Linked DNA regions of Elephas maximus indicus. The protein of the gene in region 1 purifies or fractionates together with the protein of each later gene. This does not show direct contact. Links are inferred from orthologs where the notes say so. Each region holds a gene or a part of one and is shown on either strand. Other genes may lie near its edges.

Region 1 (7,540 bases):
AGGCTGTGGTTTCAGAAAGAGCACACATATCTATCTCTGTGTTTGGAAGTGCCTGTGTGGTCTCTTGTCCTAATTTATTTGCACTCCAATCCTCAGGGGATCGCACTGCAATCCCCGTAGGGCAAAGGGAGATTAGGGGATGGGGCTGTCTGCCTCTTCCCACCCTCACAGAGAAGGGAAAAAAACTTCCCCCAAGTCCCACAAGTTCTCCTGGCCACTGTACAAATTGTTCTTGAGCGTGGAGCATTTCCAAAAGACCTAATTAGCAACTCACAGCAAACATTTCTTTGCATTAGCTAATGATCCGGCTACACTTGTAAGCAAACAGAACCAACATATCTAATCAATGCTGAAAAACCAACCCAATGCCTATTAAACATCTGGATGTAATTTTCTACTTAGAACAAAATGAAAACACATGCAGGTTCCTTTGATCTGCGTCTTAACAAAGAAATTGTTGATAAAAAAAAGCATACTGGCCAGTCAATGTGTCATTTTCATAAAGTCTACTCATTTCTCTTCAAATGCTCCCAGTTCAATTTAGTTTAGGTTTCCTGCAATCTCTAATTTTACCATATTGTGTGAAACCACAAGAGATTCTTTGGATGTAATTTTATTTGAGGTTTTACTGCTTCATGGATCTGCTACTGATTTTTTTTTTCCTTTTTTGCCTTCTTTCTCTCCTTCTTTTCCTCTCCCTTGTTCTTTGGCAAAGAAGCGGGGAGAAAAAGGTTAAAAAGCAATGCTGGGAAAAGTGCTTATGGATCCTATATCCTTGGGTTTAAAGGAAACTTCCAGTTTTAAAAAAAAAAAAGGTCAAATATATAAAACTATAACTCAGCTAAAAGGAAAAAGATAATGACAAAGGTGGCTTTTCAAAGACTGGCACATTATTTATTTCAAATAAAACAGTAATTTAAAAGAAGATGAATAATTTCTATGATCAAATACCCACAATTTTTCCTGTTGTGTTTAGCACCTAGACTATCACCTAGTTTTGATAACTGCTTATTATTTATACTATCGATATAAGGTCCCTGGGTGGCAAAAACAGTTTGCACTCAACTACTAACCCAAAGGCTGGAAGTGCAAACTCGCCTGGTGGCACCACAGAAGAAAGGCCTGGAGATCTGCTTTTGTAATAATTCCAGCTAAGGAAACCCTATGGAGCAGTTCTATTGTGTGACACACGGGGTTGCCATGAGTCGGAATCTACTGGACGGCAAAGGATTTGTACCTCTGTGTTTTTGTTTATGCTACTGGTGAGTTGAAATGTTTGATACTCAGCAGCAAATGAATGGAAATATACCCATATACGCATCTATGATAAAATAAACTATCTGACAATCTTTCTGTGTCCTCTGCGGAAAATGAAAAAGTATACCGTTTTTTTCAGAGACAATTTCCTGTGAAAGTGGCATACTTGACATTATTTCATGTAAAATCATCATCAACATATGAATATGCTAAAGGTAAAGAAGATTATGGTTAACAGACTTTAAATAAAACCCAACCCAGTGACAGAAGACCAAAATTACAGATTTCATGAGTAGAACTATTTTCTTTTAAACAGACTGTAGGCAATCTACACATATATTATTCATTTAAAACATAAGATTAAAGCTACTTGATTGTTTAAACACCATCATTTGTGATGCAGTTTGATGAGAGTTTTGTAGTATAATTATTTCAGCATGACAATCACGGAGAAAATACGACCTTGAAAAGAGGCAGAGCCTTCTCCCTCTCAAGGAGGATGCTCTGTGTGAGAAAGCCACCGAAAACCAAGCATTTTTAAGCTACAAATGAAGGTCTTCTAATTTTAAAATCATTGTTCTTTCTTTTCTCCAAAAACTCCGTTTTAAGTAAATCAGAAGGCCTGGTGTTTTAAACTCCACTGGTAAGAAAGCACTAGTCAAAAGAGAAATCACAATTTTTACCCACGGCAAACAGTGAGTGAATAGCTATGATAGAAAACATTTAAGGACAACATGTCAGAACTGATTCTGAGGGGTGTGTGGTGGCGAGAGACGAGAAGGAGCAATACTTCTTGCTCCGGTCCCAAAATACACTTTTAATTTCTTTCTGTATGCTTAATTACTGGGATGTCAGCAAGTTCAGGTAGGTAAAACTGGGTACCAGGGAGATGTGTCAGCTACCACAGTTGTCCCAGCGCCTACAGGCATTTTCGTGGCACGCAAGCACCTTCCATCCAGTCCTGGAGCTGATTACGAGATGAGCTGACCGGACACTGGCGGATATGGCACCACCATTAGGAGATGATTTCAAGGAACACAGGTTGCCACAGGACAAAGCTTCACTGCCCACGGATCCCATGATTTTAAAAAGTTCTGTCTGTGGAGCAAGTCTGCTCTTCTCGTCACCAAATTTAACCATTAAAGGAGAGGCAGTGTTCCCTTCTCTTTCATACTCCATGTTAACTGTTAGCTAAAGAATAATATAACCTTCTCCCTCACCCCACTTAAAAAGAGTGCTGCAAAGCTACACTGCTGAACTTGTTTAAGCTATGGCCTATGCAGGCTGCCTAAAATCACTTTTATTTTTTCATTTACAATTGGTATTTAGGACTGATGCAATTATGGCTAAATCAGTATCAGTATTTTAAAACAAACGAACCAGTGAAATGTATTATCTAAAATGATTGGCTATTTCAAGAAAAAAAGTCTCTGTATATTTTTGAATAAAATCTATTTGTGTTTAGGTATGTGCCTTCCCACAAGTCTCTTAAAAGTAAAAAAAAAAAAAAAAAAAGGGAACTTGGGGTTATTAATACCCCAAATTTGTTAGGTTGTTAGGTTCTAACATAAGATGAATGCTTGTCAAAGATGGGTGTTTCTCATGAAAGCAGTCATTATTACTTGGATAAAACAGCATTATTCACTCATGGATCATGTGGAAATAGCTTATCTGAATTGTCCGTTAAAAGTGGAAACGTGACAACATTGAAGGTTTTCTGCCGTGTGGTGTATTTAGAGAAATAGAGAAAAACTGGAGACTCTTAATATTAATTATACAACATGCTCTATTTATTTAAAAATCTCAAAATCCATTTGTTCTGTAAATCTTTAAAGTACAATTTAAAAAAAGGCTAGGAAAAAAAAAATCTGAAAATCCCTTTTTAACTCAAGTTTCATCTCCTAAGAATTTTAGCCATGTCATTTATTCAGCTCTTTCCATTTAGCTCCTTATACAGCTCAGCCCGGGTACCATCCAAACTATGGGGGTGGGGTGGGCGGGACAGGTTTTTCAGGTCTCAGTGTTGGTTTATTCCATTGTCTCCCTTTGTTCCCAGGAATTGGAAACAGACTCGTGGTCATGTTGCTGCAAGGCTCCTAAAACTCTCGCCGCCCCCACCCCCCCCAACACACACACATAGCGAAATCTGGACTTTTAAGGCAAGGAACCGAGATTTCGCGCCCCGGGCAGAGCATCGCATCTACGCCTGGGACACGCGTGCCTTACCCTGGCGGCACCTTGGGGATCCTTCCCGCCAAACGAAGGCAGGTGAACCTTTTTGCAAAGTATTTGAAATCCTCCAATAAGAATCAAATTCTACAACTTTGGGTGCAAAGCCGAGTGGGCATCATGCGGCTGGTGTACCTACGCCAGTCAAAGCTTTGCCCATTATGCATTTTCCCCCAACTGCACAGTTCACCCTTCCTCGCGCATCCGTGAAAAGGCAGCTTTCCGGAAAAAAATACAAAAAACAAACAAACCGCAAAAATATTTGAATGTGACCTTTCACTTTCAAAAGAATGGCATCAAACAAGGGGCCAGCACCGAAAGACGTGTTTGGCTTGAAATATCAAAGAGTTCCCCTCTTCCCCCTCATAAGAAGCTACGCAGTTAGTCTCTGAGTTACTGAGATCTGAGGATTTTCATTGAAGGAAAAAGTGAACAAGTGGCAGGATTTTTGCTAAGTGGAGCCCCCAGCTTCCGCGACTGCACGCTCGCCGGTCCCTCCCGCTCGCGCGCGCTCGCGCGCTCCCTCGCTGGCCCCACGTTACTTTGATTGACAGCCCGGCCTCGCGGCTCTCCTTCCCACCGACCTTCCCATCCTCAGTGCCAATCTCCGCGTCTCGCCGCTTCCTATTGGCTGGCTCCAGAGTCCCGCGGCTCCTTCAGGAACACTTCCTCACCAAGCCCGGGAGGACGCGGCTGGCGGAGGAGGAGCGGGGGTGGGGGGAGACAGGAGAGACGGCGGAGATGGAAGCGAGTGGGGCGGCAGAGAAGGGGAGACGCGGGCTGCCCGTCCGGCGCTGCGCTGCCATAGGCTCCGGGAAGTCTCGACGTCAGCACCCCACGTTGGGCGCGGCGCGCGCGATTGGCTGACGCTGGTCTCTCCGCGGCCCCTCCTCGCTCGGGCCCGCGTCCCCCGCCGGCTCCGCGCTCGCGCCCCCGCCCGCGCGGGGCTGGGCGGGGCCGGCGCTGGTTAGCTCCGGAGTGTGAAACCGCGTGTTAATGTAACCGGCGCGAGAGGCGCGGGCGGCGGCGGCGGCTGCAGGAGCAGCAGCGTCGGGTACCCCGCGCCCCCGAGCCGGCCGACTGCGCCACCCCCACCGAGCGGGACCAGCGCCACCACTCCTGATCTCCGCCGCCCCGCGGCGACCAAACCCCGCCAACTGCCGCCGCCGCGGCTACTCCGGGCTCGCCCGCGGAGTTTGCCCGCCGAAGAGGGAGGCCGAGCGGCGCGCACTCTTGCTTTTCTCCCCGCTATCTCGTTGATGTCATCCCCGGGGTCGTGAGAGAACTTTGCAGCCGGCCGGAGCGCCGTTTGCGGAGGCGCAAGCGAAGAGAAGGAAAGAAAGAGGATCGAAGAAGGGGCTCGGAGGAACGGTCCGGAGCAGCCGTGCGGAGCGACTACGAGCAGGGCGCGGCGCCCGGATGCGCCTGGGGCTCGAGGAGCAGCGGACGGCTGCGGGGCTGCTCTCCGCGGAGTAGCCCCGTCGGGCCGGGAGGGTTTGTGCAAGCGCAGAGAACACCGAGTGCCGGGCGCACGGGGCGTGCCGAGCCTCCTCCCGGCGCACCCTCCGCACTTTCCCCGCCTCGGCGTCATCCCGCGCTCCCCGGGCTGTGCTGAGGCTGCGGAGCGCAGGGCGCGGAGCCTCCACCGCGCCCCCGGCGTCGTTCCACGCCGCCTCTAGGCAGCTAGCAAGCGCCCGGCCAACGGCGTAGCCAGTGGTCGGCTACGATAGTCTCTGGGTTTGTTTGTGTGGGGTAAGCCGGGGCGCCACCTGCACCTCGCCCGCCGCCGCCGCCGCGGGGAAAATCCAGAGAGGAGACGGACCAGGAGAAAAGCAAAGAAAAGCCACACGCCTGGATTTGTTTGCCCAGGACGGGCGCCGCGCGCTCGGATCGCCGAGGGGAGCGCGGCCGAAGTCGCCGAGCCCCCACCTCCCCGCCCCGGCAGTCGAGGCCCGAGGGTTGGAACGTGGGCCCTGTGCCTACTCTTCGGGCGCCAGCGTCGCCGCGCAGGTTCTTGGAGCTGCCGGGCCTAGGGGGCCCGTGATGTGGCCCTGAGCGCTCCCGGGAGCCCGCACCGGCGGGAGCAGGAGCAGCCGCTGGCGCCGAGTGGCCGGTGCGCCCCGCCGAGCGCGCCTGCTTGCGTGGCCAGGGCGCCCCCCGCCCCCTGCGTGTCCCGCTTCTGCCTGCCTTCTCGGCTTAATTTTTCTCGGCGGGATTAAAGTTGGAAATTGAGCGGAGAATTCAGTTGCCCGGGAACAGAGCCGCGGCCGCCGCCAGAGCTATGTTCCCGCAGAGCCGGCACCCGGTGAGGCGCGGCCCGGTGGGTGGGGGGGACGTTGGGGCAGGTTTGTGGGTGCGTGAGGCACTGTTCCTTTGCCATAGGGAAATGGGTAGTTGTTACAACCTAGCGAACCCCTCCACGGATTTGAGGCTAGGGAGGTCCCGGGCCGCCTCCTCAGCGTGGGGAGTGGGCTGAAACTCTTGGCCTCCTTCCACTTGTCTAGACTGGGCAGAGGGGGCGCCCAGGGAGGCTGGGGTTTCTCTCCCGCAGCCACATCCTCCCCCCTTCTCCGAGTTCGGTTGGGGGCGCCCCCCTTTGTTTCTGGTCTCGCTTATTTACATGTCAATGCGGCCCCCGTTCCGGCGCCCCCGGAGGTGGCCCCGACGACTCTGGGAACGGGGAGCGTAAGGGAGTTGTTTTTTTCCTGCGGTTACGGGGGTCGTTATCGCCCCTGTGGGGAAGAGGGACCAGGCACGGCGACGACAATTTGACCCGGTCCGCCCCGGCCTCCGGGAGCCCCCCTTGCTCGGCCATGTGACCTGGGGGCGCTTACCGCCAACCTTCCCGAAGGCTGGAAGAGACTCTGAGCCTCTTTAGAAGCTGGGGGCCAGGGAAGTGTCCTCTTTTCTCTCTCCAAAGTGAGTCGTAAAGTGCAGTTCGGGTTTTCGTTTTGGGCCATTTTTAACTTTATTATTATTGTTGTTTTTATGCCCCACTCACTCCTTGTTCTTACTGACTGCTTTATCTGCCCGCACCCCTATCTCTCCGTCCCCCTCGATGCTCGCCCTCAGACGCCGCACCAGGCTGCAGGCCAGCCCTTCAAGTTCACGATCCCGGAGTCATTGGACCGGATCAAGGAGGAATTCCAGTTCCTGCAGGCACAGTATCACAGGTGCGTGTCCGGCCGCGCCGTGCGAGTGGTTGTCGAGGAGTCCATCTGCAACGTCCCGGTGCCCCTCGCCCAGCCCGGTGGCGGCTGCTGTACTTAGTACGTGCGTCCAGGCGGTGGCGTGTGGAGTCGAAGTTAAGACCTGTCATTCACGTTTCCCCCTTTCCTGGCTCTTCCCAGGCCGCCTCTTCTCTTGTCTCCTCCTGCTTCCATTGTTTCCCTTTTGCCCGTTTGCTGCTGTTCCAGGGAGTCCTTTTTCGTGCATTTAGGAGTTGCATGAGAACCGTCAATATTTGCACTTCATTTAGTTATTTTGCAACAGGCTGAGCTAAAACGTTGATTCAATCGATGCCTTAGCCCTGGAGTGTGGGTTCATGGAGGCAAAGCCAGTGTTGAAATAACTGCTTGTCATACTAGGGAATTGGATTGTCTGAGGCAAAGTCCACCGTGGAAGGCTAGATGCTTTTAGCTGTGTCCATCATTGGCGTTGATTGGGACTGGGTGGGGGAGGGGGTAGTGTGTAGGAGAAAGCTCTCTGCTTTGGCATCTTTCTAAATAGGTTTGGGCAGGACAGGAGATTGGAGTCACACTTTTATATCCATCTCAGCTTTAGTTTTCTCATCTAAGGATACCTGCCTTGAAATGATTTATAAGTGAAAACTGTAAAGTATCTGGCCCATGGTGGACTTTACAGAAACGTTAGTTCCTCCTCTTACTCTTATGAAGTCTTAGCTGGTTGGAGCTACGAAATAACTGTCATGACAGTTTTTATTTTTTGTGGTACATGGAAAAGGCACACAGATGAAGCTAAGTGGCTTGGGTGTAAATTTTCTGATTTTTTTTTTTTTCCAGGGGCTTTCTGATTATTGACCTTTTGTCTCCTC
Region 2 (6,306 bases), on another chromosome or scaffold:
ATTCATTCGAATGGGCAGTGCTGCCAACTGAAACAACTTTCCTTTTTTTTTTTTTTGTTTGTTTGTTTGGTTTTATTTTTTTTTTAATACTTAGTATACCGAGTGCATTTTCTAGAACCCAATCTTTGGTCTAAAAGTAAAAAAAAAAAAAAAAAAAAAAACAGCTCTTTAAAGAAAAGGACAAAACAATAAATGGCCAAAATAATTTCTTGGGCACCTTTACTACGAATGCTTCTTAAATACAAATTACAGTTTAACATTTTTAAAACTCTCCCCATAATTTAGGTTGTTCTCAAGGTCTGCATCCACCATATAGATCCATGATAACTTATAATACTGCACACATGGAAATCTGGCGGCTTCGAGATAGACTTGTCAGGTTTGAATGAAATGGCAAAGCAGTCACTATTTAGATACACATTCTACTGTAATTTTGACTTCCAAACCTTATTATATTCTACAATGTATTCTCCCCACATTGCACCTCGCTGACACTCCACACCTTGTTAGAATAATAAACAACCCTAAAGACTGAACAAACGTACAGAAATGGGGTGGGGGTGGGGGTGGGGCGGGCTTAATAAAAAATACCTGGACTTATTTTTTAATTATCATTTACAATGCAAATGTGTGTAAAACGTTCACTTACAGTCTGGTCCCAGGGATGTTAATGTATTAAAGGGTTGGAAGAAGACCCCTGATTTTGATGTGTGAAATAATCAGACAGTCCTCCAGACAGTCCCGTCGTGAAACTTGGCAAAGAGGGTCTTAAAGACTCACAGGGCAGGGTCGAGGGGGCCTGCGGCGACGTGGAGGAGGACGCGGCCCGGGCGCTCATGGATGTGCTGCTCTGCGAAGTCATTGACGGGTGCGGGACGTGGGGGAAAAAGTAACTGGTCTGGCCCGCAAGCAGGTTGACCGAGCAGGGGTTGAGGGAGTAGGTCCCGGAGCAGGGCACCGACAGGCCGCAGGGCACCGAGGCGGCGAGCGCGGCGGCCGTCAGGTGGTGCGTGGCGTACGGGATCTCCCCGTTGACCAGCCGGTCCACGCTCAGGCCGTTGGCCGTGGAGAAGGAGTGGTTGTTGCCCAGCGAGTTCTGAGTCAACACGGAGCTGTAGGGCATGGGGTGGCTGGGATAGGCCGACGTGGTGCCATTGTAACTCAAAGTGCTGCTGGCGCGGGGGTGGTGCAGGGACAGGAAGGGCGACATGGGCCAGTAGAGGGAGCCGGCGCGGTCCATGAAGGTGAGGCCGGTGGAGGTGAGGCGCGCCCCGCGCTTGAAGGCCAGCTTGGCCCGCGACGTGGTGGAGCGGCGCCGCAGCTTGCCCGTCGTGCCGCCGATGAACACGTCGTCGCTCGACGGGTCCAGCATCCAGTAGTTGCCCTTGCCCGGGTCGTCGTAGTGGCGCGGCACCTTGACGAAGCACTTGTTGAGGGACAGGTTGTGGCGGATGGAGTTCTGCCAGCCCTGCTTGTTCTCGCGATAGTAGGGGAAGTTCTTCATGATGAACTCGTAGATGCCGTTGAGCGTCAGCCGCTTCTCGGGGCTCTGCCGGATGGCCATCATGATGAGCGCGTTGTAGCTGAACGGCGGCTTCTCGTACTTGCCGTTCTTCTTCTCGCCCTCCTTGCCCCCCTCCCCGTCCTTGCCGCCCTCGCCCGCCCCCTTCTTCTCCTCCCCCCCGCCGCCGGCGCCCTTCTCCTTCTCGTCCGGCCCGACGGGCGCCAGCTCCCCGGGCCCGCCGCCCGGCTCGCCCTTGCCGCCCAGCCCGTCCGCTTTGGCTCCGTCCAGGGCGGCGGCCGGCGGGGGCGGCGGCGGCGGCGGCGGCGGGAGCAGCAGCTGCTGAGGGCCCTTGTCGTCGTCGGCGGCGGCGGCCGGGGCGCCCCGCGCCTGGGGGGGCTGCGGCGCCGGGGGCGGCGGCGGCTGCTGCTGCGGCGGCGGCGGCGGCGGTTGCGGGGCGGGCGGCGGCGGGTGGTGGTGGTGGTGGTGGTGGTGGTGGTGGTGCGGGGGGTGGTGGCTGTTGTGGTGGCCGTGGCTGGCGTGGTGGTTGTCGTTCTGGACCGCCTCGGGCACCAGGCTGTTGATGCTGAACGAAGACTTGGGGATCATTTTCACCTCTTTCCTATCTCCCATGTCCAGCATCACCCAGTCGTCGGGGGGAAACGGCGGCGGCGGCGGCGCGGGAGCGGGGCAGCGGCGGCGCGTCGGGCGGCGGTGACCGGTGGGTGCCGAGCGGGGCGCGGGCGGCGCGGGCGGCGGCGGCGGCACTGAGCGCTCCGGCAGCAGCGCAGTTGGACCGCAGGCTCGGGCGCTGGCAAGTCATGTAGCAAAAGCAGCAACCACCCCTCAGGAATTAGAAAAAAAAAGGGGGGGGGGAGAAAAAAAGAAAGAAAGAGAAAAAAGAAACAACCACCGCCCCGGGGGTGAAGATCCCTCGCTCCCAACTCTACTTCATGGTCTCCCCCCCACCCCCCGCTCTCCCCCCCTCTGCTGCTTCCTCCTCCTCCTCCTCCTCCTCCTCCTCTCGCAGCAGCAGTCACAGCAGCAGCAGCAGCAGCAGCAGCAGCAGCAGCCCAAAGGGGGGGAGAGCCGGGCTGCGGGCGGGCGCGTCCCGGAGCGGCCGCCGCGAGGCTGGGGAGACAGCGATCGAGGCGGCTATAGCCACAATTAATTTGCAGAGCTACAGGCGCACACTAGGGCTGTAAAAAAATTTTTGGTTTAACCTTTCCTACCGCTGGGCCAATCAGAGCCGGCGGCGTGCGGGAGCGTCTGTCTCGCTGTCGACCAATCGGCGGGCCCGCCCCCCCGCCCCGCCCGCCGGCTCCCGCCCCCTCGGGCGCTCGGCTCCCCCTCTCGGCGGGCCTGGGACCTCGCGGCCTCACCGAGCCGCGCAGGGATACGGCGGCGGGAGCACGCCGCGCCGCGGCCCTTGCCCGAGCGCCCTGCGGCCCCGCACCCCGCCGGCGCTGTTCAGCCGAAATTCCCCTCTTAGGGCAAATCTCTCACATGTCCGGCCTCCTCACTGTATTGGTTCCTTTTCCTTGGAGCGTCAATATTTGTCCTTATTGATTAAAGTTTGTATCCAGTTTTATTTTTTAAAAGCCGGGGGGCGTGGGCGAGGGAATGGACAGTGGGAGGAAGGGGAGAGGATGCAAGGAGAGGGCAGGAAATGGAGCAGGAAGAGGGGAGGCACCCCTCTCCGGAGTCTGCCCCGCTGGCCCGGGGCTGGCATCTCCGGGCCCGTAGGACAATTGTGCCCCTTGTAGGTGACGCTCGAGCGAGGCCGTGGGTGGCGGGGGAGGGCGGGCCCAGCCCTGGCGTGGGGGCGGGGGCCCTTCACCTCGGGGGAGGAGGGTCGGGAGAGGTTTGGGAGCGGCGGGCCGGGGAGGAGGAGGAGGAAGTGGGCAGGCGAGCGCGGGGCCAAGCGGGGGTTACTTACTCGGTTCCCGCGGCCCGGGCGGCGGCGAGCTCGGGCTCGGGCGCCGCGGGGAAGCAGGGCCCGGGGCTCCGGGCGCGGCGGCGGCGGGCGGGGGCGGCTCAGTAGTGGGCACCTCTGATGGCCTTCGGAAATGAGGGGTGCCCAGAAAGAAAACAAAACCAAACAGTCTCGAAATAAACCAGGTAACACATGCTCTGTGTGTCTCTTCCTTCCCTTTCTTTCTCTCCTGCTCCAGACCGTCGCTCACGCGCGGGGTGGCTCGGTGTCCTTTTCTCCTCGCTGCTCCAGCTTCTCCTCCGCTTCTAATCCGAATTGGAAGCGAGTAGCCGCGAGCGATTACCCAGGAAATGTTTTCTTTTTGCTTGTTGACATAGGAGGGAATATAGGGGTGGGCGTCTGTTTCCTTTTTTGTTTTGTTTTTAAAGCCTTCCTATTTTCCACTCCCTCTTTCTTTCTTCCCGTTTCTCAAATGCTTTTATTTTGCGCGGGCCTCAATCCTGAAATAACCGCATCCAGAAACCAGTCTCTTCCCACTCCCGGTGCTGCTGGGAGGCTCCTAGGAGCCATGGGAACGTGGGTCCCAGGATCCCAGCTTCCTGGGCTTTGGGGCTGGGAGGGTTTGGTTGAAGGCTGAAGTGACTGGGGAGATTGCGATTCGGGGGCTTTAAAAGGATCCCGTGGCCAGGGGCAGGGCTAAGGCCCTGCATTTCCCAGGGATTGGAATCTGGTGCGGAGCACACTGATCAAAGGCTGTTCATCCCACATGAACACGAAACACCACATTTTATGGAGGATGTAGCCCAAGAGAAGAGGGAGGTGAAGCATAAATGAACACCTTTTCCCTCCTTTGTAAGGTAAATAGTCGTCATAAATGTAAGCGTTTCTTCACTTTGAGAATAAACCCTCCGTTAAATTAAATGGCAGTTAAGACATTTAAGAAAAATGAGGAAAAAAGAGTGGTGTTTATGCGTGATGGTTGAAATTAAAGTTCAATTCTAATTGAACTAGGAATGCAATTGATGAATATTCAGGTTAATAGGGGGTTATTCCACTCTCCCGACCCCCACACCATGAAATTCTAAGAGAGTTGACCCCAGAAGGAATAACAGACAATTACAAATGGCTAGTGATTTTTAAATATGTATGTGTTAGGAATGCCATAAAGGAGCTCTGAATATTGGACTACCTTCAAATAACCTTCCACTGTGTTTATGTATGTTTTAAATGTCTACACATTTCTTTAACTTAAACTGTATTTACGTATGGAACAATTCAAGGATTCTGGCAATCAATGTTGATAGTGACATGGCCCCAAACATTGATCCCAAGTTCAGGATTTCTCCTAGAGCCCCGTGAGCTAAAGGGCTGGAGAGATGTATGGGCCTACCTCTCCCTGCTCAACTCTCCTCCTCCCACTCTTCTCAGCTCCTCAGGCCTGTTCTTCCTACTTTTGCTCAACTCTCTTTCCTCCCACCTCACTCCTCCCCCTTTCCTCCCTCATTTCCCCCACCCCTTCTCCCTCCCTCCATTCCTGTCCCTCTCCCTCCATTCCTCCATCTACTCCTCCCCAAGTCTCCCCCCAGAGCCCCCCTGCTCACCATCACTTATAATGGCACACAGGGCTCCCTCTGAGGTGGACGGCCCGGTACGTTTTCGTAGTCGGTCTAGCGTGAAATGATTCGGTGTAACCGGATTCTTGGGAAAGGACAGGTTACGTAAACATTTACTGCTGTGGAGTAACTATACTATTTGTACTCTGATATGCAGGAAGGAAAGTGTTGATTAACACAGAAGAAAAAAAAAAGCGAAATTAGCTGATTGCATGCTCATAAGTGCAAGCTGTCATTGAACTGCTTTTAAAATAGACACAGCTGGGTGTTTGTGTTGAAAAATTTCTTGTGTTTTTGCTAATACTGAAATAAGCATGATTTTGTATACCAAACATTTTCAGATCATTAAAATTTGTAATCTGTGCTGGTTTTAAACACAAAGAAAAGAAACAGAATCATTTCGATGTAAAATTTGCTGATATTATATTAACTCAATCAGGTCTGTACAAATTGTGCATTGTGCCTCCTAAAATCTGTTTGATCAATTTAATACACAAAGTGCCAAACGTGGGTATTGTTTGTTAACATTGGGCATTTTATTCAAATCCGAGCTCAGCAGCAAATTGGAGGAGCGTTCCTTGAATGCAACACCCGCACTGACTGATGAATTTTTAATGTTTTAAGGTGTTTCTTAGGTCAAAGCTGAGTGTGCATTGTTTTATGATCCTGCATAAAATTTTAGCAGGTGAAAATAAGTTTTTCTTCTGTTTACTTGCAGATAGCAAAAACTGAGTTCTGCTAATGAGAGCTGTAATAATCTGATTTCGCATGCCAGGAGCTTATATGGACTGGGAAAATGTTTTTCATGCAAATTAAGAATGCAGTATATTATTTTAAGGATTGCATGGATACAAGTCTCTCAAGTAGGGTATTGGTGTAGGAATAAGCAGTATATAGTCTTGGATAATTGTATGAGGAACTGTTATCCCTAATGACAAAATTCATTTGCAACTTTTGGGGAAGTGGTTTGAATTCCTCCAAATAATTTTAATTGCATTTTATATGGAGATAGGGTGATATATATAAATATATATATATATGGGGGTAGGCTTGCTCAACAAAAGATGCAGTGTTTACTCAGGGGCCCACGTTTGTCTCAGCAATGGCTTCCTTTTAGAACTGCTACTGGCTGAAATGGGGTGGGGGGGGGAAGGAGGGAGTTCTTGGACAGAGTATTGTGCAAGTTGAAAGTCCCTGGATGGGGCTTTGTACATCCTAACAGCCAATTTGGGTACAAATTGGATTTGAAGGCCTGC
Region 3 (7,507 bases), on another chromosome or scaffold:
TTTAAAACAGGAAGAAAAAGTCCTACCCCCATGGCCCCAGGATGCAGGTCAACAAAGGGGGCATTGTTCATCATTTCTTCAGAACATGATAGGGCACAACCCACTCTGCAGCGTGTGAAGAAAAAACAAAAAATCCCCGAGAGTTGCCCAAGGGGCAAGAGTGAGTAAACCAAGCCTGTGATGAGGTAAAGACTTGGCTGCAGACTTGAAGGCTCTCCTGGAAGGTGGAAATGAGGTCTGGAAGGTAAATACAGTCAGAACCACAATGATTCCTTATTTATACGCTGGGGTTGTAGGGGAACTGGAAACCTGCTGTTAAAGGGAAGGCAGGTTTCTGCGGACCTCGGATCACTGGGCAATGCAGTCAACGCCCAGGTGAGCTGGTTCTAGGCAGGTGCTTCCGGATCAGAGTCATCTGCCTCTTAGGAACTGCTGGCAACTCCTAAACGGCCTTCCTGCCTCCAAACCCTGCACTCCGCTTTCCACACTTCTGCTGGAGCCATCCTTCTGAACAAGAATCCTGATGCCCCTTCTCTGCTCAGGACAGCTCTCCATCATTTAAAGATAAGGTCCAAAGTCTTTTAGTGAGGAGTAAGTGTCCTGAGACATGGCCTCAAACCTTCTCCTCCAGCCCCTTGTTATACTCCTGCCTATGATACAGCCCGGGCTCCAGACCACATTCCCTGAATACCAAAAACCAAACCAAACCCACTGCCATCAAGTCGATTCCGAATCATAGCTACCATACAGGAGAGTAGAACTGCCCCATAGGGTTTCCAAGACCAGAATCTTCATGGAAGCAGACTGCCACATCTTTCTCTAGTGGAGCAGCTGGTAGGTTAAAACTGCAGGCCTTTTGGTTAGCAGCTCAGAGCTTAACCACTGCGCCACCAGGTCCTTGTTCCGTGAATAAAGACCTCAAATCCAGGGTCTGGGCCTTATTGCCATTGGCACTTCCATCCTCCCCAACCCTATGACTCACCACTACTTATTTTCCTATCCTATCCATTTCCCACATCTACCTGTTTTCCAAGGTGTAAAGCAAGGCCATCTCCTACAGGAAGTTTTCCAAGACAGCCAAAAAAAAAAAAGAAACCCACTGTCTTCGAGTTGATTCTCATAGTGACCCTATAGGACAGAGGAGAACTGCCCCATTGGGTGTCCAAGGAGCAGCTGGTGGATTCGAATTGCTGACCTTTTGGTTAGTAGCTGAGCTCTTAACTACCGTCCCAATCAGGGCTCCAAAGATATCCAAAGTTATGACCAATTTAATTCTCCTGAATCTTCATAGTATTTTACCTCTATTTCAGCATATAACTCTCTTGAACCTCGGATCTACCAGATGCACACCCTGGAAAATCAATAGATATCAGCTGCATGCATGAATATACGTTTATACGTTGTTGCTAGGTGCCCTCGAGTCAACTTCCACTCAGAGCAACCTCCCCATGTGACAGAGTAGAACTGTCCCACAGGCTTTTTTGGGCTGGGATCTTTATGGAAGCGGATCACCAAGTCTTTCTCCTGAGAAGCCACTGGCTGGGTTCCAACCACCAACCTTTCTCTGTGCAAAATGTTTAACCCTTTGTGCCACGAGGGCTCTTTATATGCGTTTATATATATACGCGTATATATATGTGTGTACACGACTACGTCTGCCAGGCTGTGGGTTTCCTGAGGGCAAGAGCTGTCAATAACTCGTATTCGTGCCTGTATCCCCCCAAAATACAGCAACAATATTGTTATTCATACAGGTGTGGTTTGGTGCTTCTTTTAGGTTCTCCTGGTCTCCCAAGAAGTCCCTGAGTGGTGCAAATGGTTTGTTGTCCACTAATAACCTAAAGATTGGTGGTCTGAATCTACCTAGCAGCACCACAGAAGACAGGCCTGGTAATCTGCAAGAAAATCCTATGGAACACAGTTCTACTCTCTAACACATGAGGTCGCCATAAGTAGGAATTGACTCCATGGCAACAGGCTTGGTCTCTCCAATGAACAAAAGCTCGAGTCCCCACTCAGAAAACCAGGGTCGGTCTGTTTCCGAAGTTGACTGTAAACTCCTTGCGGGTTGCCACCGTATAATCCCAGGGTTTAACACGGTGTGTGGCACAGAGCGTGTGCTCCCTCCACTACGAAAGAGAAGGGCTTGCCCAAGGTCACCCAGACTCAGGAACCGCCGAATCTCACCCGGGAGGAGATCTGGTGAAACCATTCACAACATTATCTCAGTGGGGAGCTCGGAGGAAGGAAGGAATGAAGTGTCTGAGCAATGCATGCCAGGCCTCCGGCGGCCTCGGGGCTGGGGGAAGGGCTGGGAGGGCGGGGGGCGACTTCCAACAGGACGCTCGGCTCCCCCGCAGCCGAGGGAGCCGCGCGCCGACTGCCCGGGCGCCGGGAAGTGCGGACCGGGCCGGGGGCGCGGGGCCCGGCGACCCGGGCAGACGGGCGGGAGAGACGCAGGGGTGGCTGCCGGCCGCTCGGCCGGGGCAGTGCGCGCCGCCCGCCCCGCGCGGCAAATCCCCCAGGGAGGCCGCCGCCAGAGCCCTGGCGCTCCCGGCCCGGCGCCCGCCACGTGGCACCCGGCGGCGGCGGCGGCGGCTCCTCCCGGCGCGCGGCCCAGCCAGCCGGCAGCACGCAGCCGCCCGCGCCGCCCGCCTCCTCCCGGCCGCCCGCCGGCGGCCTCCCGGGCGCAGCGAGGGGGAGCCGCCCGCCCGGCGGCCCTGGGCCGGGGGAAGGGGCGGACGGCGCGAAGCCGCTTTAACCGCAGCCGCCGAGGGGAGGCAAGAAGCTGACCCGGCCGCTTCCTAAGTGCGGTCAGGCATCCCGTGACCGCGGCGGGCGCCGGGGGCCCCGCGGGCGGAGGGGGCAGGGCCGGGCGAGGAGCAAAGCGGGAGGCCCCCGCCCCTCCCGCGGGCTGTTGCGAGTGCGGCTTTCGGCCGGGTTAAAACCCCAAGCCCGAAACTGGGGTGAAGGGTGGACGGGGGGGCTGGATAATTCCCCCTCTCCGTGACGGGGCGTGCGCTCCCCGTCCGGAAGGGCTGACCTTGGCCGGGAAGGGGGTGGGGGAACAAGCGCCGGGGCTCAGCTCCCAGCCCGCCGCCCCCTCGGATTCCAGGCCCGGCGGGGGCTGGAGGAGGGGGCCCCCGGACACACACACACACACACACACACCCCACACGCAGCGCGCGCCAATGAGCCCGGGCCAGGCACAGGGGGCGGGGTTTTCCCAGGCTCGAGCACAGCAGCTGCTATTTACCTTCTTGGCTTCTCCCAGGGACCAGGAACCAGCCCCCGCGCTCGGCCGCCCGCCGCCGCCCCCCGCCGCCCCCCGCCTCCCTGCCCCCGGGGCGCGCGCGCGCGCACACACACACACACACACACGTACGCACGCACACACACATCCTCCCGGCTCGGCCGCAGCCGCGGCGGCAATAAAACATCCTGGCACGTGCTCCGGCTCCAGGCGCGCCCTCGCCGGCCGGCTGATGTCAAACTGCAGCTCGGCTGGTGCAACTCTTAAAGGGCCCGCGCGCGCCGGGAGCCAAGGACTGCCCCAGCCGCCCGCGGGGTGGGAAGGAGAGAGGCGCTGCAGCCGGGTCTGCCACCTCTATTTGCTGCAGAACCGAGAGCCAGCGGGTGGGAAGGGAAAGGGTGGCGAGGAGGCGCGTGAGTCTCTGCCATCAACCCCCCCCCCCTTGTTCATCTTTCATTTGAAATTCCATTTCCTTTCTGCCCAGTTGGAAATTTATTCTGATTGTTTCGTAGGAAAGCATGGGGTTCGAGGGCCCAACCCCAGGAGAATAATTGGGGACGGGATGGGGGGGCATTAAAGAACTGCCTTGTTCGGAAAAAACTTGTGTAAGGTGGAAGGCATTTTTTCTTTTTTCTGCATGCAAATGCCGGCTTCACACTGGATTGGCTTTCACCTCCCCCCCCGAATGTATAGAGAAGTCTGAGCGGGAAATCCCTTAGATGTTTCAGTAATTCACACCCGTACACGCGTTCCCCCTTTTAACTGCTGCTAGTAATTTTTATCTCTGCTTTTCAAAAAATACTTTTTAAATAAGCTTCTTATACAGTGGAAGAAGCTCTATTAAACATAGAAAAGAGAAATAATAGAGCAAAGACCCTAGCACCAAAAGAAATAGACTAGACCAAAGCCAGTGCGGAAAAATGTTTAATGCAAAGCTTGGCGGCGAGAGTACCAAAGGGTTAAAATCCTTTTGATTGACGTTGTAGCCTCTGGTGCCCCGGGCTCAGGCGCGCGCCATTGGTCGCCAGGCCTTGCGCCTCGCGGCCAATGGGGGGGCGCGGTCCACGAGCGGTGCCGCGTGTCTCCTCCTCCCATTGGCTGAAAGTTACTGTGGGAAAGAAAGTTTGGGAAGTTTCACACGAGCCGTTCGCGTGCAGTCCCAGATATATATAGAGGCCGCCAGGGCTGAGTGGGATCACACAGGATCCGGAGCTGGTGCTGATAACAGCGGAATTCCCCCTTTACCTCTCTCCTTGGTCCTGGAATAACTCTACTGCTCACCAAGTAGCCATAAAATATTAAAATAAACCCTCAGCATTTGTTCAGTAGTTTTGTGAAAGTCTCAAATAAAAGAGACATAAACAAAGAATTTTATGTGAAGGAGTCAAAATATATAATTCTCTAGGGATTTAAAAAAAACAAAAACGAAAATGCCAGCTGATATAATGGAGAAAAATTCCTCGTCCCCGGTGGCTGCCACCCCAGCCAGTGTCAACACGACACCGGATAAACCAAAGACAGCATCTGAGCACAGAAAGGTAAGACCAGTACCCGTATCTCTCCGGAGCCCCAAGAAATGGGTTGATGAGGGGACCCTTCTCCCTTAAAATTTCGGGGTGAAAAGGCAGTTCCCTTGGGAACTCAGGTTTTGTTTTTTATTTTTTTGCAGTCATCAAAGCCTATCATGGAGAAAAGACGAAGAGCAAGAATAAATGAAAGTCTGAGCCAGCTGAAAACACTCATTTTGGATGCTCTTAAGAAAGACGTAAGTGAGGAAATGCTGCTTTTATTTCTTTTTTTTTTAATTAAAAAACATATACTATTTCTCAGCGGCTGAGAATGAAACCCGCTTGCCGGCGGGATCTTCTCCGCCAACGCTGCGTTCTCCGAGGCGGGAGAGCAGGGTCGGGGATATTGGCGCGGTGGCAGTGGGTGGGACTCCAGCCTCCGAGGCCGCTGGCAGGGGTCTCACTTTCCTCCCCTCGCCTCCTCTGTGCAGAGTTCGCGGCATTCCAAGCTCGAGAAGGCGGACATCCTGGAAATGACAGTGAAGCACCTCCGGAACCTGCAGCGGGCGCAGATGACGGGTGAGGGCGGCTTGCCGCGTCCCCTCTGCAGGCGTCCCTCTGGTCCCGCGGTGATTTCTTCCAGACTTCCGCCCGCGGTTGTGAGAGGCATTCAGCTACATTTTACTGCCTTGGCTCAGGCTAGCGTTCCCACGGTCTGGGGCTTATTTATAGCCACAACTCCCAAGTTGTTACTGTTCGGAAAAGGGAGGGAGGTAGAGAGGTTACAGCCGTGAGGGTGGCGGGCGGCTCGGGTGTAGGGGAAGCTGGTGGGGGCGGGAGGATTTAGGACCGCAGCGGTTTTGAGCTGCACGGAGTCTGGGAGCCTTCTGGTTTAGCACCCTCCCTTCCCCAATTTACAGATGGGGAAATGAGGCTCGGGTGACGGAGGGGCGCATTGTCCAAGGTCACTCCACGCGCGCGAGGGAGGGGGCAGATCTGGGACTGCGGTGCGTTTAAATGGAGCAAAAGGGAGTGGAGAGAGAGACTCTGCTTTAATCGCCTCGCCTGTGTGGCGAGGTGACTGGTTTTTCTAAATCCACCCCCAGCCAGAGGCAGTTCCGCGGGCCCGCGGTCAGGGAGGCGCGCCGCGGGGACCTCCCAGGGCGGGAGGAGGTGGCTCCGGGGCTGGGGCCGTTCGGTGACCCGCCTGTCTCCTTCTGACCCGCAGCCGCGCTAAGCACAGACCCGAGCGTATTGGGGAAGTACCGCGCCGGCTTCAGTGAGTGCATGAACGAGGTGACCCGCTTCCTGTCCACGTGCGAGGGCGTTAACACCGAGGTGCGCACCCGGCTGCTCGGCCACCTGGCCAACTGCATGACCCAGATCAACGCCATGACCTACCCCGGGCAGCCGCACCCCGCCTTGCAGGCGCCGCCGCCGCCCCCGCCAGGCCCCGGGGGCCCCCAGCACGCGCCATTCGCGCCGCCGCCGCTAGTGCCCATCCCCGGGGGTGCGGCGCCCCCTCCCGGCGGCGCTCCCTGCAAGCTGGGAAGCCCGGCCGGCGAGGCGGCCAAGGTATTCGGCGGCTTCCAGGTTGTGCCGGCTCCTGACGGCCAGTTTGCTTTCCTCATCCCCAACGGGGCCTTTGCTCACAGCGGCCCGGTCATCCCCGTCTACACGAGCAACAGCGGGACCTCCGTGGGCCCCAATGCAGTGTCGCCTTCCAGCGGCCCCTCGCTCACGGCCGACTCCATGTGGAGGCCGTGGCGGAACTGAGCGGCTCAGACCACCCCTCCCCCTAAACTCCCCAACCCACCTTTTTTCCCTCCGGACACTAAACAGGGACTTGGACCTTGGGAGAGAAGACGACTTTCATGATTAAGTGGTTACTTCGGTTTTTTAATTTCTAAAAGGTTACTTTTTTGTAGAGAGCTGTTTTAAGTGGCTGACCATGCACTATATTTGTATATATTTTATATGTTCATATTGGATTGCGCCTTTGTATTATAAAAGTTAAGATGACATTTCGTTTTTTACACGAGATTTCTTTTTTATGTGATGCCAAAGATGTTTGAAGATGCTCTTAAAATGTCTTCCTTTTGGGAAGTTTATTTGAGAAAATATAATAAAAGAAAAAAGAGTGCAGGTTTTTTTGTCTTAGAATTGACTATTTCAGAATATGTAAAGAGGCCCTAGGCAGAATTTGAATTACATGTAATCTGGGGTTTTTTCTTAATGTAATCGGCTCTTTTGTTATTAAAAACAACTTTTTATAAAAATCTTATCAAACCTCTTACCAATCCTCCATGAGCTAGAAGACTCAATTCCACTGAATTTACAAGAACTCACGAGATATGGCTTCTCTGATCAATTCGTGGTTTCTTCAAGGATATACATTTTTTAAAAGTTGCAGTTGAGCAAGTCAGTTCAGCCCTGGCTCTCACACTAGCTCCTTCTGAGGAAGGCTAAGTGCCACTGAGTTCATGGTCCACTGCACGTTAAGGGTGGCACCTGGTGGCGCAGTGGCTAAGAACTCAGGCTCCTAATCAAAAGGTAGGCGTTTGGAATCCATCAGCCACTCCTTGGAAACCCTGTGGGGCAATTGTACTCGGTCCTAAAGGGTCGCTGTCAGAACCGACTCCATGGCAATGGGTCTGCAGCGCTACTGCCTCGGGTAGCTTACCAATATCCAAAGTAAAAACACTCTACCGCAGCCTCCCGGGTCGGGGACTTCATTAATTAGTTC

The links. The genes of interacting proteins can lie anywhere in the genome.
Region 2: the proteins of TLE1 (region 1) and FOXG1 purify together in Homo sapiens (affinity purification with western blotting; 3 studies listed by BioGRID and IntAct, with this or other methods). This does not show direct contact. The link is inferred for Elephas maximus indicus from reciprocal best matches to the Homo sapiens genes TLE1 and FOXG1.
Region 3: the proteins of TLE1 (region 1) and HES1 purify together in Homo sapiens (affinity purification with western blotting; 4 studies listed by BioGRID and IntAct, with this or other methods). This does not show direct contact. The link is inferred for Elephas maximus indicus from reciprocal best matches to the Homo sapiens genes TLE1 and HES1.

What each region holds. Positions count from the first base shown.
Region 1 is NC_064827.1:98,615,891-98,623,430, reverse strand, and holds the start of TLE1 (transducin-like enhancer protein 1), read left to right. Parts: upstream 1-4,406; 5' UTR 4,407-5,767; coding exon 5,768-5,791; intron 5,792-6,558; coding exon 6,559-6,659; intron 6,660-7,540. UniProt on the Homo sapiens protein: Transcriptional corepressor that binds to a number of transcription factors. Inhibits NF-kappa-B-regulated gene expression. Inhibits the transcriptional activation mediated by FOXA2, and by CTNNB1 and TCF family members in Wnt signaling.
Region 2 is NC_064828.1:41,100,651-41,106,956, reverse strand, and holds FOXG1 (forkhead box protein G1), read right to left. Parts: upstream 2,234-6,306; 5' UTR 2,144-2,233; coding exon 668-2,143; 3' UTR 575-667; downstream 1-574. UniProt on the Homo sapiens protein: Transcription repression factor which plays an important role in the establishment of the regional subdivision of the developing brain and in the development of the telencephalon.
Region 3 is NC_064819.1:20,827,598-20,835,104, reverse strand, and holds HES1 (transcription factor HES-1), read left to right. Parts: upstream 1-4,433; 5' UTR 4,434-4,683; coding exon 4,684-4,791; intron 4,792-4,922; coding exon 4,923-5,018; intron 5,019-5,252; coding exon 5,253-5,340; intron 5,341-5,989; coding exon 5,990-6,537; 3' UTR 6,538-7,001; downstream 7,002-7,507. UniProt on the Homo sapiens protein: Transcriptional repressor of genes that require a bHLH protein for their transcription. May act as a negative regulator of myogenesis by inhibiting the functions of MYOD1 and ASH1.